Stegostoma tigrinum: one gene and its partner. The protein of the gene in region 1 interacts with the protein of each later gene in a biochemical or structural test. Links are inferred from orthologs where the notes say so. Each region holds a gene or a part of one and is shown on either strand. Other genes may lie near its edges.

Region 1 (8,369 bases):
TTCTCTTATGCTCTATTCAAAACCACTTGCATGGACTTTTGTATCTCTAAACCCTCCATCTTCTTTAGAAAAGATGTTCGTCTCTAGGCATCACAGCAAAGTCAGCATTTATTGCCCTAAGAAAGTGGCGGGTGGCTAGCTATTTGAACTACTGTCTGATTCTTTGCACCTGTCTTATACAACTGTGTGAATTGCTGATCTTGACTTAAGAGAGTAGTTAAGCATGGTGGTGTGGGATTAGGGTCACATAAATCAGTCTGGATAAGGCAGGCAGGAATCCATTCCAGAAGGATGTTAGCTTGGTTTTTTTTACAACTATTTGGAGTTTCATGGTCACTTTTGGTACCAGCTCTTTACTTCCAGACCCTTTAATATAAAACTTAAATTCTCAAACTCCCAAGGTAGAAGTTGAATTTAAAAATGTAAAGATCAAGATCTTTAGTTCATGGCAAACTCCACACCCACAGGTATCGAAAAGAGTCCTCAGCAGCTTGTTCTATTCTTTCGTAATTGTATGCACTACTATATCATCCTATAATTTGTGCTGCTCTAATGTAAATGATACAGTTATTCAGGTCTGTATTCACAGTTGTATTTGCTCATACCAGAAATAACCCTAGGGAATCTGAGTTTCACCCCCTAAAACTTTAATATTGTTTATATAGTGTGGAGTGTGCAATACTACCCACAATTCTGAATGTTTTATATAACTTTTCATTACCACATAGTATTTCAATTTTAAAATTTAATTTAAATATACCGCATGATCAAATCTATAATTCTCTTTGCCTTTTAAATTCCTTATTAATCTTGTTTATTTCTTTTAATAAACTGTAAGCTTATTGCCCAAATACTTCACTTCTTCCAGAACACTGAGCATACTGGATACAGTCACTGTTGATTTTAAAACAAAATGTATCACTTCACACATTGATGTTGAATTGCACTTACCATCATGTCTGCATGTAGCAATTTTCACATTTTGTATCTGAAGTCTAAATTAGGTTTTTGATTCCACATAACATGCATAAGCTTCTTATGGTATAAGCTGTGGTATCTCTACCCCCGGACTGGGAGGCCCCAGATCAGGTCCTCTCTGCTCCAGATGTGCGTAATAGCATCTCTGAACAGGTTGATTAGAAAAAGAGACTACGTTTAAAACAAAAAACATGCACAAAGTACTACTCGTGTCTAAAGGTTGTCTGAAAGTGTTTCACAGCCAATGAATTACTTTGATTGTGTTCACAGTTACATCAGCAAACACAGTAGTCAATTTGTACAAAATCAACAATACAAAAAGAGGAATTCGTCTATTATGGTGGGGTTGGTTAACGCATAAATTTTGGTCAGGACATCAGGCGAACCCTTTGGTAATAGTTTAAAATAGTGTATTGATCTGAAAAGGTAGACATCTGAAAGATGAAAAGCTCTGACAATGCTGCCCTCCCTCAGCATAATGCTGAAGTGCCTGCCTATTTAATTTGTTTAAATTCATGCATTGGGAATTGAGCCTGTGAGCTTCTCCTACAGTTAAGGCTGCTGCCATTTGGTTAAACTAGTCTAATAATCTGTTTTTAACAGTCTCTAATTTTGAATTACTTTTTCATTGAGTACTTTTACTGCGGCTAATAATTGCCCCTTCACTAATAGCAAGCTAAATGAACTTGTACAGAATATTAAAGTGTTTAACTGTAAAAGGTCAGATATTATCCTTTGAAATATATGATATAGGAAGACCAAAACCGAATTCCAAAGTGAGATTAATTGAAATTAAATGTGTTTACCTCGTGATGTATTTGTGCTAATATTAGCAATTTGGCTTAATATTAATTAATTGAAATTGAGAGCAAAGCAGACCGTTATTTAGCATACCACAAGTCTTGGACAAGAGGTTGACAGTAATGGAAATTTTAAGCCGCACATCATTTTCTTTATTTATCTCACTTGTCTATCCTAACACTTCCTAAACTCACTTTATTCCTCTGGCAATAATCTAAAGCTTCCTCCCTGTGTAGCTATTCACCACATCAGCTCCCCAGTGAGTCTACCTTTGTCTTTATCCTCCAACTCTGCTCATCAATTGAATGTCTAAACATGCTTCCACTTTACAACAGCCTGCAGAATATTTGCTCATTTGTGAACAAGACTCCCTGTTCATATCCTTATCCTGGAGGAGTAAATTAACATTCTGGGCTTGACTGAAATCTGGCACACTGCTGTTGATTTTTTCCTTTCATTCGAGAAAAACTCTCTTGGTTCACATTTCATAACATCCCATACTTAGAGGTGTTGTGAAATTTCACCTAGGACTATTGCACATTTCTCTGGCTCCTTCAAAATGTCTCAAAACCAAACGTTTTACCTCTCCTTTGCTATTTACTTCCTCTAGAAAAAAGCAATCTTCTCTCACCCCTGAGCTCATTCAAATTCTCATCTATTCTTAAAATCTACTATTAGTGATAACATTGACTTTTCTATTGACTTTCTCCACAGCTGTCTCACTTATAATCCTGACAACTTCATGTTGGACGGGTCTCTATAGCCACTTCTTGTAAAGTAAATTTTAGAAACTGCAAATTTGAAATGTTACTTAGCGTGCATTAGGAGATCATATTGATGGGATAGGGTGACTTTGTGCAGCATTTTCATCAATTTTTTATGTTAATATTTTGCTGAAAGTAAAGGCCATGTATTTAATAGCACTGGCGATTAGGCCAGCCTACACTCCCATTTGGATAATCCCTGTTTTTCAACATTTGTTGCCTTAGGAGTTTCTGCTAGCATTGAGCAATTGATGTGAACAAGTGGCAAATTTGCTCTGAAAATAAGGCTAGAATTTTAATTTCATTGTGGAGTAATTGTTGACATAAGGGGTAAAAAGTAGTATGTGTTGACTCAGCAATTTGCTGTACACTGCACTACCCTGCAGTTTTTATTTTGAATTATTGTTGAAAATCAATTTAGAGAAAAGCAGTCTTCAATGACATGGTTATATTTGTCAGGACACTAAACACAGCTTTCTCTATGTCTCTGTTTACAATGTGATGAATTGCTGGCATGGTAGGACAATGAATATGACATGTACAAAGGAAAAATATACATACAATATACAATCCGTCATTCTTTGTATGGAAAGGTCTGAATTTATTTAAGAGAAAAAAATAGAAGACCAGAAATGGCCAAGTTTAGTTGAGGTCGAAGGTCCCCAGGATGTTACTGAATAGTTGAGCAGGTTTAAGGAGCTATTTATCCAACTTGCGCTGAGACACCCAGATGGCATCATGATGAAGGAGCATCAGACATTATAACAGATGGAGGCTGCTAGGAGAAGGTTACCTCCCCACTTTCATAGCTGAGGAATGACTTTTACCAAAAGAATAAAAAGCATAAATAATTTACTGAAGCTATCCACTGACTTTCTCTATGCTACTTCTGCAAGATTCTTCTGTTCTTCTGAGTCTGGAACTCTGTGTCCCTTTTCCTGTCAATTCATTCTCATAGCTCTACACTCCTGCAATTCTCTTGCTAAATCCCTCCAATATCATTAAACATCTCCTCAATGTTAGAAGCCTACTCAAAATCTAGCTAGTTAATATGCACTTTGTTACCTTACCTGATGGTCTTCTCACTCAGCACTGACTGCCCTGCGTGACTATTTTAAATCCTCCATCTAAGTATAAATTGTCACTGTAAATACAAGTATTTGGTATATTTAACCGTTTCATGTATTCAGCTCAATTACTGAACTTGCTCAGCTTCCTGATGAAAGTCCTGATGAAAGATTCTGTGCATGTTGTCACTGTTCCCACATTCCAAGGCATAAGGCAAATCCAACTCTATAGTGACATCATTTATCATTGATTAGTTGATTTCAATTCCATCATTTCAGTATCTGAAGAATGATCATGCTGTGCACAATATTTTATCACAGCTATTGATAAATCCTTATGTTAATTCAACCCCTAACTCCATACCTATATAGCTATTTTGCAAAGATGTCAACATAGCAATAATTGTTTTAGCATTGCACTTACTTTCCTAATCTACGTCTAATCTTCAGTTTTACATGCAAGTTCTGTTGTCTCAAATTTGCCACCAGCAGCCTAATTCAAATTATCTTCCTGGTACATACACCTATCACCATTTTGAACAGGATCCCACTGATTCCATTGTTATCCAAACTAAACAAAGTCATTTCCAAGTGTCCAAATAAATTGAGAAAGTATTACTCACTTGGAAGTCTAGGTCCTGGTTTCCAAACAGCTGCTCTGTAATAAACCCTCTCAAGGCTGCAGTGTAAAGGCATCGTTATTTTCGTAAGAAAGTGTCAAAAATTGCATTTATTCTCAGCGTTTGAATAATGACGTAAAACAGTTTGCAGAACATTAGCCACAAATGCTGAAGGTTCTGCCTCGATAAATGTGAAGTTCGTTTACCAAGCATTAAGGTTAAAACATTGTGTCCCTCAAAATTTTACCTTCTCGTCATGGTTTCCTCTCCTAGCTTTCCACGCATTTCTCTTTTCCTTTGGTGGCAAGAACTGACAACACCGTCTCCCTCAAGAATGACTGCGTAAACGTGGCCTAGATTTTAAAGTGAGGATGTTGGTGGAAAATTGACACCTATTTGTCTCTGCTTTGTAGGTATTTTTAATCGCACCTTAAACTGAACTCGTGTAGATATTGTGCATATTGTGGAGACAATCCTTCCAATGCAGCCTTTCCAACGTCCTACTAATCAGGGCACTTCGAAACATTGACTTTCGTCTCGTCTAAAAGCTTTTAACCTTTCGTTAGTTATTCGCTGCTAGCTGGTACTGACCAAAACTAACTTTAAAACATCGTCGTCGTGCTCTGGTTCTATACCCCACCCAACACTACGAATTAACTTTGTAACTGCATTTTCTGCTATTCCTTTTTCTTTCAAACCTATTTTCCCTTGCTCACAGGAAATTTCTGTCGCTCCGGAAGAACTCGAATACAGATATGCGTATTCTGAATAAAATGCAATGCTTCCCAAGCCACCAGTTAACGTGCTGTGCACAACAAAGTTAAGAGAAACGCCACGGGGCTAGTTTAAAGAAAACCGTGAGAGAGGAAAATGCTACTTATTATGTATATACGGTGTTCACGCGCCGTATCGCCTTCGATATGCTGCTATTAGCCACTTCTGCAGGAAGGAAGTGGAATATCATAGAGATCGCATAAGTGAGGCTTTATGAACTCGGGTTAAAATACCACAATGACGTACGTACTTTCCAACAAATTGCAGAAACTGGGCGGCCACTTTATTAGTCGGATTAATTGATAGTTCCAGTTTGGTTTCTTAAAATGGGTCGAATATGAGGGGTTGTTCAAGCGCGTCCATCTCTGGCACCTCAATCCAATCCGTTTTAGATAAATTGAATTTATTGGTTCAAAAATTCTGTCAAGTTCTACCTACAGATGCAGAGGCATTAGATACAATTATTGTGGAGTATACGGACGCGATACTTGCATGGTGAGTCATTTTTAACTCGTGCTGCTATATGTGGTAAACCTGAGATTGCTGTATTGTGCAAATGGGAAAATTACTCAATAAAAATCGGCAATAGTTATTTCACCTACACATTGGCTTCTTATACGTGTAATCTCACGTGCTCCAGTTACCAAAACTCGAGGGCGCTAATGTCAGCCCGGAGTTTCAAAATTCACTTTATAATGAACATATCCACTGGATGTATTTATCGAAATTGGCGGTATTTTGAACATTGACTGACTTATTTTCCTGTGTATAATATTTAGCTGGTTTCATTCCTTGAAAGTTCATTGCCAGTATCGAGTTAGATTTAACTGCCAATGCTAATTTATGAATAATAGTTTTGGAGAAAGACAACTTGTGTTAAAATCGTGTGTAAAACACTCGCAACGTACGTGTTTTGATTCTCTTTGTATTGAAATCGTTGCTTCGATTTTGATTAAATCAGCCGGGAGAGTGATTGAAGATTAACGAGTACGTAAGACAAAACGGATGAGTGCGGTTCAGGCCAGTTGCATTTTTATGCTGAGGTGAGATGCCTGTTTTCTCACTGTAAACCTCGGCAAACCAATTTTCACACTCTATCTGGAAGTTCAAAAGAATTACCCGACATTTAGTGATCTGTGTGAAATGTTTGTGTAATTTGCAGTGCATCGTTAATGCATTTTAGAAACATTTTCATGACGCTTTTAGTGAAAATTGGTGATGGGGTCGTTTAGTACTTATTTGGGAGTTTGTGTTTTGCTGTGAAGTTGTAGGAATGCTGTTGTGTGCGATTTAATATCGTGCATGATTGTGGGGTCTCGACACGACGATACCGGAGTTCCTAGTTTTAATATCCCATTAAATAACTTACAACCGTTTCCTTATGGGAGGTTGACGGCAATATTTGTACACGAAAATTGCCAGTGATATTTCTGTGCAGTGAAACACCGACATAAAAATGGTGTCGCCAGTTTCATGGGTGTTATGGTTGATTAAAAAAATGCGACCATAGTGATATCAATTCTGTCGCATCGATTAGCCGTTTGTTATACAGACTGAAAATGCACACGATCCTTCACTGAATGTGGCCCTGTGTAATGCACAGTGCTTCTATAACAATGCTACTTTTCAGGTGAGTGTTTCTTAGCATTTTCCGTGTTTATTATAGCATTCCCGTGGGTTCATTCTGGCGGAATGTGAAAATCGCATGCCCGGCTGAAGCACCGCAAGGCCATGTGTTAAGTTCCCTTTCATATTCGGCGCGATGCCGAATTCGGCCACTGCAGCCTGAGGCTACGAGCCCTGCAGTGATTGACAGGTGCTCAGCCTCCTCGCCCAGCGGTTTGAATGGGGTCCATGCACTGGCTCGCAGCTTGTGGGCGCTGAAAGGGCGGGGCTTGCCTGGTGATTGACAATGGAGGAGGAGCCCGGGCGACGGCTGGTGGTGGGGGCGTGGCCTAGTACTGTGATTGACAATGCGAGTGTGGGCCGGTAGGGTAACTGACAGTGTAAGAGTATGCCCAGGGGTGTTGACTGGGAACGAGGGGGCCTGTGGAGTCATTAACACTAAAGAAATGGGCCTGTAGGGTGATTGATGGTGAAAGTGTAGGTCTACAAAGGGGATAGACAGTAAAAGTAGGCTAATGGGTGATTGACAGTGGAGCAGCAGGCCTATAGATTAATTGATTGATGGTGAGGCGGTGGGCATCTCTGCTCTCTGATGAAGGGTCTCGGCCCAAAACGTCAGCGTTTGTGCTCCTGAGATGCTGCTTGGCCTGCTGTGTTCATCCAGCTTCACACTTTATCAGTGGGCATGTAGGGTTGTTGACGGTGAAAAAGTGTGACTATGAAGTCATGAAGTGCTTTGAGAGGCTGGTCATGACCCACATCAACTCCAATCTCCTGACCTGCCTTGATTCTCTGTAGTTTGGCTACTGACATAACAGGCCCACAGAGGATGACATATCCCTAGCCCTGCACTCATCTTTGTTGTCTAAATGTGCCAGGGATATCTATGGCAAACTCTTTCTTGTGGACTATAGCTCCACCTTCAACACCATTATCCCCTCCAGATTTATTTCAAAACTTAGTGATCTTGATCTCGGTTCTGCCCTCTGTAACTGGATCCTCAGTTTTCTGAACCACAGGCCGCAATCAATGAGGATAGCTAACTGAACCTCCTCCTCAATAACACTCAACACTGGAGCCCCCGAAAGGATGCGTCCTCAGCCCCCGACTGTACAGCCTGTACATCTATGACTGTGTTGCCAAATCCTGAAAGAATGCCATCTACAAGTTTGCTGACATCACCATACTAGGATGGATAGCTAACAACGATTATTCAAAATACAGAAGGGAGATAAAAGGCTTGGTGATGTGCTGCAATGAAAACAATCTGTCTCTCAATGTCAGCAAAACTAAAGGTCCAATCATTAATGTCAGAAAGAAAGGAGGAGAATACGTCTCCATCTACATCAAGGGAACTGAGGTCCAGAGAGAGTGAAGAGCATTAAATTCCTCAGTGATGATAACGGACAACCTGTCCTGGACTTTCCACATAAGTGTGACAGTCAAAGAGGCAGAATAACGACTCCTTCCTCAGGTGGCTCGAAATTTGGCATGGCCACAACATCCCTCACCAACGTCTACAGGTGCACCATTGAAAGCATAATGTCTAGGTACATAACAGCCTGTTATGGCAACTGCTCTGCCCAGGACTGTAAGAAACCACAGAAGGTCGTGTGCAAAGCCCAGAACATCACAGAAGCCAATATTCCATCCATGGACTGTGGAAAGGCAGCCATCATCATCATCATCAAAGACCCATCACACCCTGGTCATGACCTCCTACAGCCTCTTCCATCAGG
Region 2 (7,362 bases), on another chromosome or scaffold:
GTCAATTAGGGATGAGCAAAAAACCCTAACCTTGCCACTAATGTCCACATACCATGTAAAAAAAACTAAAATACATGTTTCCTTAGTTTCATCCTTTTATGTAAAACACGGGTGCTGATGGCCTGCAGCAACTACTTTAAAAATGAATTTAAACCACAGTTTGCCCCAAAGGACTCCAGTTTTTATGGACAACAAAGCGTGGAGTTGGGTGAGCACAGCAGGCCAAGCAGCATCTTAGGAGCAGAAAAGCTGACGTTTTGGACTTCCCTCACATATACTCTCTCTCAGCCAGTCCCTACAATTACAATTAGCATTTTTGATTAAACTTAAATAATCAGGAAACAATAAAATTAATGATAATTCAAATTATGCTTTTAAATGGAGTTTTGTGATTCACTTTAAATCATTTGAAACTTAAGAGCAACGACACATGGTACAAGATTACTAAACAACAGTTATTCTTATAATGAGGATTATAAAAGTACAAGTCTTTCATTTACAAACATCTGATCCAAATATGGCCCAAACAATGTATGAAAGAAAAGCAATGTAATTGACAGAGTTTATTAACACGGTTTATTTAAAATAAACAAGATAGCAATACATGATGTTTACAAAACTATTTGAATGCTATGACTTCAACTTCCAGTTTCAAATAACATCACACTTTCTCAAATTCGGATTTTGAGTATTTTCTAACCCTCAGTTTACTTTGTCTTAACATAACAATAAGCACGGGTTAATCCACAGAAACTAAAGGATACATTTCAATCACAAGGGCTGCTATATGTCCAGGGTCCCACTCCAGTCACTGTACTGTCATTCTTCCCTTGTTCTCTAGCAGGGTGCAGATCAGCAGGCACCAGGAGCCAACTAGTATTGTACTCTGGTTACTGTTCACCACATGACAGACCAGATCAGAAATCAAGTAAAACATAAATTTGATACTGGGAAACATACAGCAGATTAACTACATTTGTATGTCAAAAGACAAACATGATGTTTGGGGTGTGTATCTTTCCTCATCTTGTTTTGTTTTCTGATGCTGACATGCACTGTTCTATGTGTGCTGATTTTTTTTTAAACAACTGCAGCATTTTGATTTTCCAGAACTCAAACTAAAGACTGCACTAGGACAATACCATTGTCCAATGAGATATTTGAGGAAGTATTATTAACATTTCTGACACTTGGAAGGACTTTGAATATAGAAGGGATATGACGACAATGAACAACGAATAAAATCTTAAACAAGAGGTAAAAAAAACATCATAAGTTTTAGAGATAATGGGAACTGCAGATGCTGGAGAATCCGAGATAACATGTAAGCTGGTGGGGGAGCGGTGCGGAGCTGGATGAACACAAGCAGCATCTTAGGAGCACAAAAGCTGATGTTTCAGGCCTAGCCCCTTCATCAGAAAAAAATTTTCATAAGTTTTCATGTATTAAAATACTCCTTTTTTTAAACCTGTTTATTTATACATTGCAAGCTCACACAAATGGGAGTAATCCAAGTGAACAAAGACATTCACGTTAGGGCAGACATTTGCCAGATAGGATAGATTTATTTTGGAAAAGCTTGAATACTGAACTGTATATTTTCTAAGAGGCTATCTGCCAAGAGTAAATTTGGTACATGTCTCAATGAAATACTATTCTTTTCTTCAATCATAAACAAAACAAACTATCATCATTATTGCAGACTTTATCCCAAAACACTGTGACAGAATATCCCACACAAGTCAGAGGCTTCAGTGTTTATGGTCATTGTTCATTCAAAAGATAATTCTATTTAAGTCACACAAGCTATACATAGGTCCTTCACAATGGCATAATATTCCAAGTAACACACCATGATGCAATATCTACTTTTGTCAGTAGAAATTTTGATTTTGCCCTCTAGGTTTTGAAAAAGAAAAGATGAATTGAAATAATTATGGCTACAAGTATGGATTTAAATCTAACATTCCCCACCCCACCCAAATAATCTGCCACTCTCCAACCAAAAGGCCAGATTCATAATCAGAGACCCTTGGAACAATTTCTGATCGCCAATGGGTTGTAAGAGAGTTGCTCAAAGCAAATGCTCTTCTGTGTGTTATTTTCTTGTCAGATATTTGTATGTACTCTCCCATAGATGAATTCCTGTACAATCTACTTTTCTAAAGCACTATAGAACAGAATGCTGGTGAATTATACCATGCATCCGTACCAAATGTTCTAACCACACATTGTACATTACTCTAATGTATCACACTGTCAATGTTGGAGAAAGGTTGCATATTTTAGTCATAGTCACAGAAAGCATCATTCATCATGGTGATCCTAGTCAAAGCCACAACAAACTTCCAATATTCCTTTTGTCAACAGACAACCTGGTCAAGTCTAACACAACTTACTCTCTAAGAAAAACTAGTAACTTCTCACCTGCGCCAACTATTTTGGCCAATACAATGGCACTTTTCATGACAAGACAGACACAAGTAGCATTTGCCCCATGTCAACATTACCCGAACATTTTGCAGTGGGTGAGACATCCGATCTGCAAGTTCAATAAAACATATTTACGACCACACGTCCTAATCTCCCTCACATACAGCACTGCCAATTTGAATTTAAATCAGCTGCTTCAGCTCCAAACTTAAACACAACAGAAACAAGATTAGAATGATTCGCATACAACACACCATATCGCGCGCAGTGAAAACTACAGATTTAACTAAAGAAAATCTGTCGCGAACCACACATACTGGGATCGCTTCATTAAAACAAAAATCAGGCAACAAATCAAACACAAATTAATTCCAAAGAAACTAAAAAAAACAAAGTTGCATCGAAAACTGGAAAACTCTTTGGAAGTAAAGACTTGGCTTCATTTTGCTCACTACCTCCGGAAACTAGGATTTCTTCAAGGGTCCCCTCCCCCGAACACCTATCGGACTCTCAGTACAGAAAATTCCCAATGTTGGAAGCTGTCCCAAATCCTTGCTCTCTTCCCACATTCCCATCAGGCCGGAGACAGGGCGGTTCGCTCCCTCCCACCGCTCCCCCACCAGCTCCATTCCTCTCCTCCCCAACCAGGCACCACTTCAACAATTCTCGACTACTCCTTCCCCCACCCCAGACAAAAAGAAAACACCTTCCAAAACGTACCCTAAAAGTAGAAACACGCACTCACCCCCAGTAGCGCCTCCTCCCCGAAGCGGTCTAAATCCTACACCCGCCACGATCAATGATCCTTTCGGGTAATATGTGTACAAATATCCAAATAGCAATCCACCCGCGCTACTAATCTCCGTCTGTCTCTCGCTGTCGCTCCCCTCACAGGCACGCGCCGGTTCACAGGCTCCCGCTGCGCGCGCTTCCAACCACCCCACCTCGCGCACGTTCCTCACGAGTGTCATCGAGCGCACGCACGTACACCATCCACCTTCTCCCCTCTACCTCGCCCCGCCCCAAACCCACAACCAAATATGCCGGAAATAGGCGTCGAAAGACTGTTAATTGGCGGGCAAGAGGAGCTGAGATGGAGTTAGCGCGTTGGGACGGTTTGGAGGGAAAGTAGTCGGAGAGGTCGGTTCGCACCCATCGTCACAGCCCGCCGACCGTTTTCTCGCCGGCGGTCACGTGATGAACGAGGCGGCTGGGATGATGGTGAGAAGAGATGTTGGGTGTGTGTCTGCGAGGGAGAAATGGACGGTCGGGAAGGAAGATAGAGTATTGAAGGATCATTGGGGTGGAAAGGTATGGTCTGGGAGTGGGGAGGAAGTTGGGGGCGGGGAATTTGGGAGACGGGATAAAGTAAGGCCAATAAGTCGTGTTGGGGAGGTAGCGCTGGTATGTGGGTGGGGCCTTGGGCCGTTTCGGAAGGCAACGTGTAGGGTCTTTGTGATGGTAGTGGGAAGGGAGAGTAGATTGGGGGAGGAGGTTGGGAAAAGGTACGGCCAGGGTGGGGAGGGATGGAAGTGTTGGGTCAGTGTGGGAGTAGAATGGAAATAAAAAAAAGTACCTGTTTTGGGGGTGTGGAGAGTAAAGAGAACTTGTGCAGTTGTGGTGAACAGATCTTGAGGTTGTGAATTGGCAAAAGAAAACTTGTTAGGTGAGCATGGAATAGAATCTGTTCAGGTGTGGTGTGGGGATTGACAAAGTGAACCCATCATGAGGCAGTGGAAGAGAAATCTGTGGAGTAAAAATTGTTTGGGGTTGGCGGGGGGGAAAGAGAACCTGCTGGGGTTGTGGGGTGGAGAAAATTAATCTGGTTGGAGAATGCAGGGGTTGGTGTTGGAGTAGACAGCTCAGAACGTGGGCTGGGGTATATTGGTGGGGAGGGTGAGAGATCATGGGTAGTTTGAGGTGAAGGGTTCAGGCAAGAGACCTTTTCTGAGATTCTTTCTCATGAAGGAGATTTCCCAGGCTCAAGTAACTAGAATCCCCATCCTTCAGTGGCCACAGAATGGGCTTTGCACATTTAATTGTTGGTTGCATCACTAGGCTGCCACAAACTCCAGAGCACAAGTTGATGTTGCCTCTTAATGGACTATTAATTATTCCTAATCTAAGTGTATGATGCAGCTCACTGTACATAACCAACTGTTCTACTAATGTGCCAAATGGTTCCTCTTCTAAGTGATCTTTATCTGCCATAAACTACTGTATCAATCTTCCACAAATTTTAATCTTGGTGCTGTCTTGCTTTTTCCTAGTGTGTGCCCCATCTTAGATTTTGTACGATTCTGGACTAAAGATTTTGGGGGTTTGAGTTGACAGGGCTGGGTGAAAGCCCCTTTTGTTGAGTTGGGATGAGGGTAATCAAGCTTTAGTTTTTGAACTGGGATTGAGGATGTCAGAGTTGAACATGGGAGAAGTTGGTGAAAAGGTGGCATTTCATCTAAAAGCCTTGAACACCTTACTGCTGACAAGGCTGTGTCTTAAAGATTTAAGAAGTTTTGCTTTTTAAAGAATTTTTTTATTTTAAAAATCTTGTTTTGTGGTCCCATTGAAGGTTACAACGTATAATTTGGGAAGTCAATACATTCTATGCATTCACTTAAGAAAACCATTGATTTTTTTTTAAATTGATTGCACTCACTCTGCCCCTCCAGTGAAAATTTCTTAATGGAACAAGACCTTATCAAGTACTGATTAAAAATACAACCATGGAAGAAGCAAAAAAAGCTTTATTTACAACCACTTGGTATTAAATAGCATTCACTGTCTGAAAAAAAAACACAAGCAGATTTAATAGAACTTTCCAAAGGGAATTGGATAAATGTGTCAAAAATACATTTTTGTTTACCAGGAATAGGGAAATGGACTGATTCCTTTTGGTGAGCTGGCAGAAATGATGAGCTGAATGGATTTCACCATATTGTATGATTATGAAGTGAATCATGAAAGCTATCCAAAAGGTGCTGGGAGAAGGCAGGTTGGACAAAGCTTCTGATGAATTTATATGGTGACACAACATGTTGGAGCATTAATAAACCCATGAGATCCAGATCCTGAAGGACTATTTCTTTATACAACAGATTTTCTATGTTATTCTCCAGGATTAGAAGTGACAAATAAAACACAGGCATGAAATCTCATGAGTCTATTCAAGTCTTAAAATTTCAGGACAGTTGGCTGAGTAACATCTGGTCTGGCAAATTAAAACATTTCATTCAGGAGATGTGGGCATTGGTGGCTAGGCCAGCATTTGTTGCCCATCCATAACTGCCCTGGAGAAGGGGTGGTATGGTCCTTGTTAAGTCACTACAGTCTTTGGGGTGCAGGCACACCAACAGTACTATTAGGAAGAAGATCAGTGACAAGAAGCAGCAGTATAGTTCCAAATCAGGATGGTGAATGACTTGGAAGGGAGCTTGGTGCAGAGGGTGGAGTTCATCTGTTTTGTCCTTTTAGGTGGTAGGTGTTTATAGGTTTGGAAAGTGTTATTGGGTTAGCTTTGGAAAGTTACTGGAGTGCATATTGTAGATGGTACATGGCTGCTACCATTGTGCATTGTTGGGAGTAAATGTTGAAGGTGGTGGATGCGGTACACTTCCAGTGAGTTGTTTTGTTCCAAGTAGGTGTTGAGCATTCTGCATATGGAAACTCTATTGGAACTGCAATCTAGATAAGCGGAGAGCATCCCATTACGATCCTGACTTGTATTTTTATTAATAATGAGGTTGGTTGACTCGCCGAGCTGGTTTGTTGTTTTTTATTTATTTATTTCCAGACGTTTTGTTACCATGCTTGGTAACATCCTCAGTGCAGCTTCCGATGAAGCATCGGTGTGTTTTCCAGCCTTGTTTTTAAACTCTGGGTCTGTTGAGATGGATTGCCTCACTTCTGGGTTTCCTTCATAGTGGAATGTATGTGGTGTTGAGCTCAATGTGTTTATTAATAGCGTTCGTTTGTGGAGTGCAATGCTTCCAGGAATTCTTGTGCTTGTCTCTGCCTAGCCTGTCCCAGGATCTTGGTGTTGTCCCAGTCAAAGTCATGGTTCTCCTTGTCCATGTGGATTGAGATGAGTGAGTATTGGTCGTGTCTTTTTGTAGCCACTTGGTGTTCATGTACTCTTGTTGTTAGTTTCCTTCCTGTTTGACGGATGTAGTGTGTCTTGCAGTCTCTGCAGGGATTTTGTAGATGACGTTCGTCTTGCCCATGGCGGGGAGTGGGTCTTCAGTTCGGGTGATCCGTTGTTGTAGGGTTGATGTGGGTTTGTGTGCCAATCTGATGCCCAGCGGTCATAGGAGTCTTGTGGTGAGTTCTGACGTGTTCCTGATGTAGGGTAGTGTGATGAGTGTGTTGGGGTATGGAGAATCTTTCTGCTGCTGTTCTTGAAGGCATCATCTGACCCAGTTCATTGGATATCTGTTACCCTTGAACACTTGGAGGAGGTATTCTTCTTCCTCTTGATAGTTCTGTGTTGCTGTAGTGTGTTGTTGTCCTTTTAAATAGTGTTCGCAAGCAGCTTTGTTTGTGTGTGCTGGGATGGTTACTACTGCAGTTCAGTACCTGGTCTTTGTGGCTTTATGGTGTACTTTCATTTGCAGTTCCCCATTTGTCTCATGCTCGACCATGACGCCCAGGAATGGGAGCTGTTTGTTCTTCTCCTCTTCTCTGGTGAATCTTATTCCAGTGAGGGTGTTGTTTATAAGTTTGTGTCTCTCTCTTAATTTGGTCCTTTCTTAATGGTGACAGAGATGTTGTCTACATAGCATATCCACATTTTGGATTTGTGGAAGGGCAGTCCTTTCCGGTCTTTGCATCACTGCTTCTGCTATGAGTCTGGAGATCAGTGATCCCTTGGGTGTTTCGTTGACTTGCATATATGTGAAGTGGGTGGTCCAATAGTTTGAGCATGTTGTCCTT

The links.
Region 2: the proteins of bmp4 (region 1) and bmpr1aa form a complex in vitro, tested with the Homo sapiens proteins (3 studies listed by BioGRID and IntAct, with this or other methods). The link is inferred for Stegostoma tigrinum from reciprocal best matches to the Homo sapiens genes BMP4 and BMPR1A.

Annotation. Positions count from the first base shown.
Region 1 is NC_081363.1:47,120,719-47,129,087, reverse strand, and holds the start of bmp4 (bone morphogenetic protein 4), read left to right. Parts: upstream 1-5,270; 5' UTR 5,271-5,499; intron 5,500-8,369.
Region 2 is NC_081390.1:5,616,483-5,623,844, reverse strand, and holds the start of bmpr1aa (bone morphogenetic protein receptor, type IAa), read right to left. Parts: upstream 3,339-7,362; 5' UTR 3,179-3,338; intron 1-3,178. UniProt on the Homo sapiens protein: On ligand binding, forms a receptor complex consisting of two type II and two type I transmembrane serine/threonine kinases.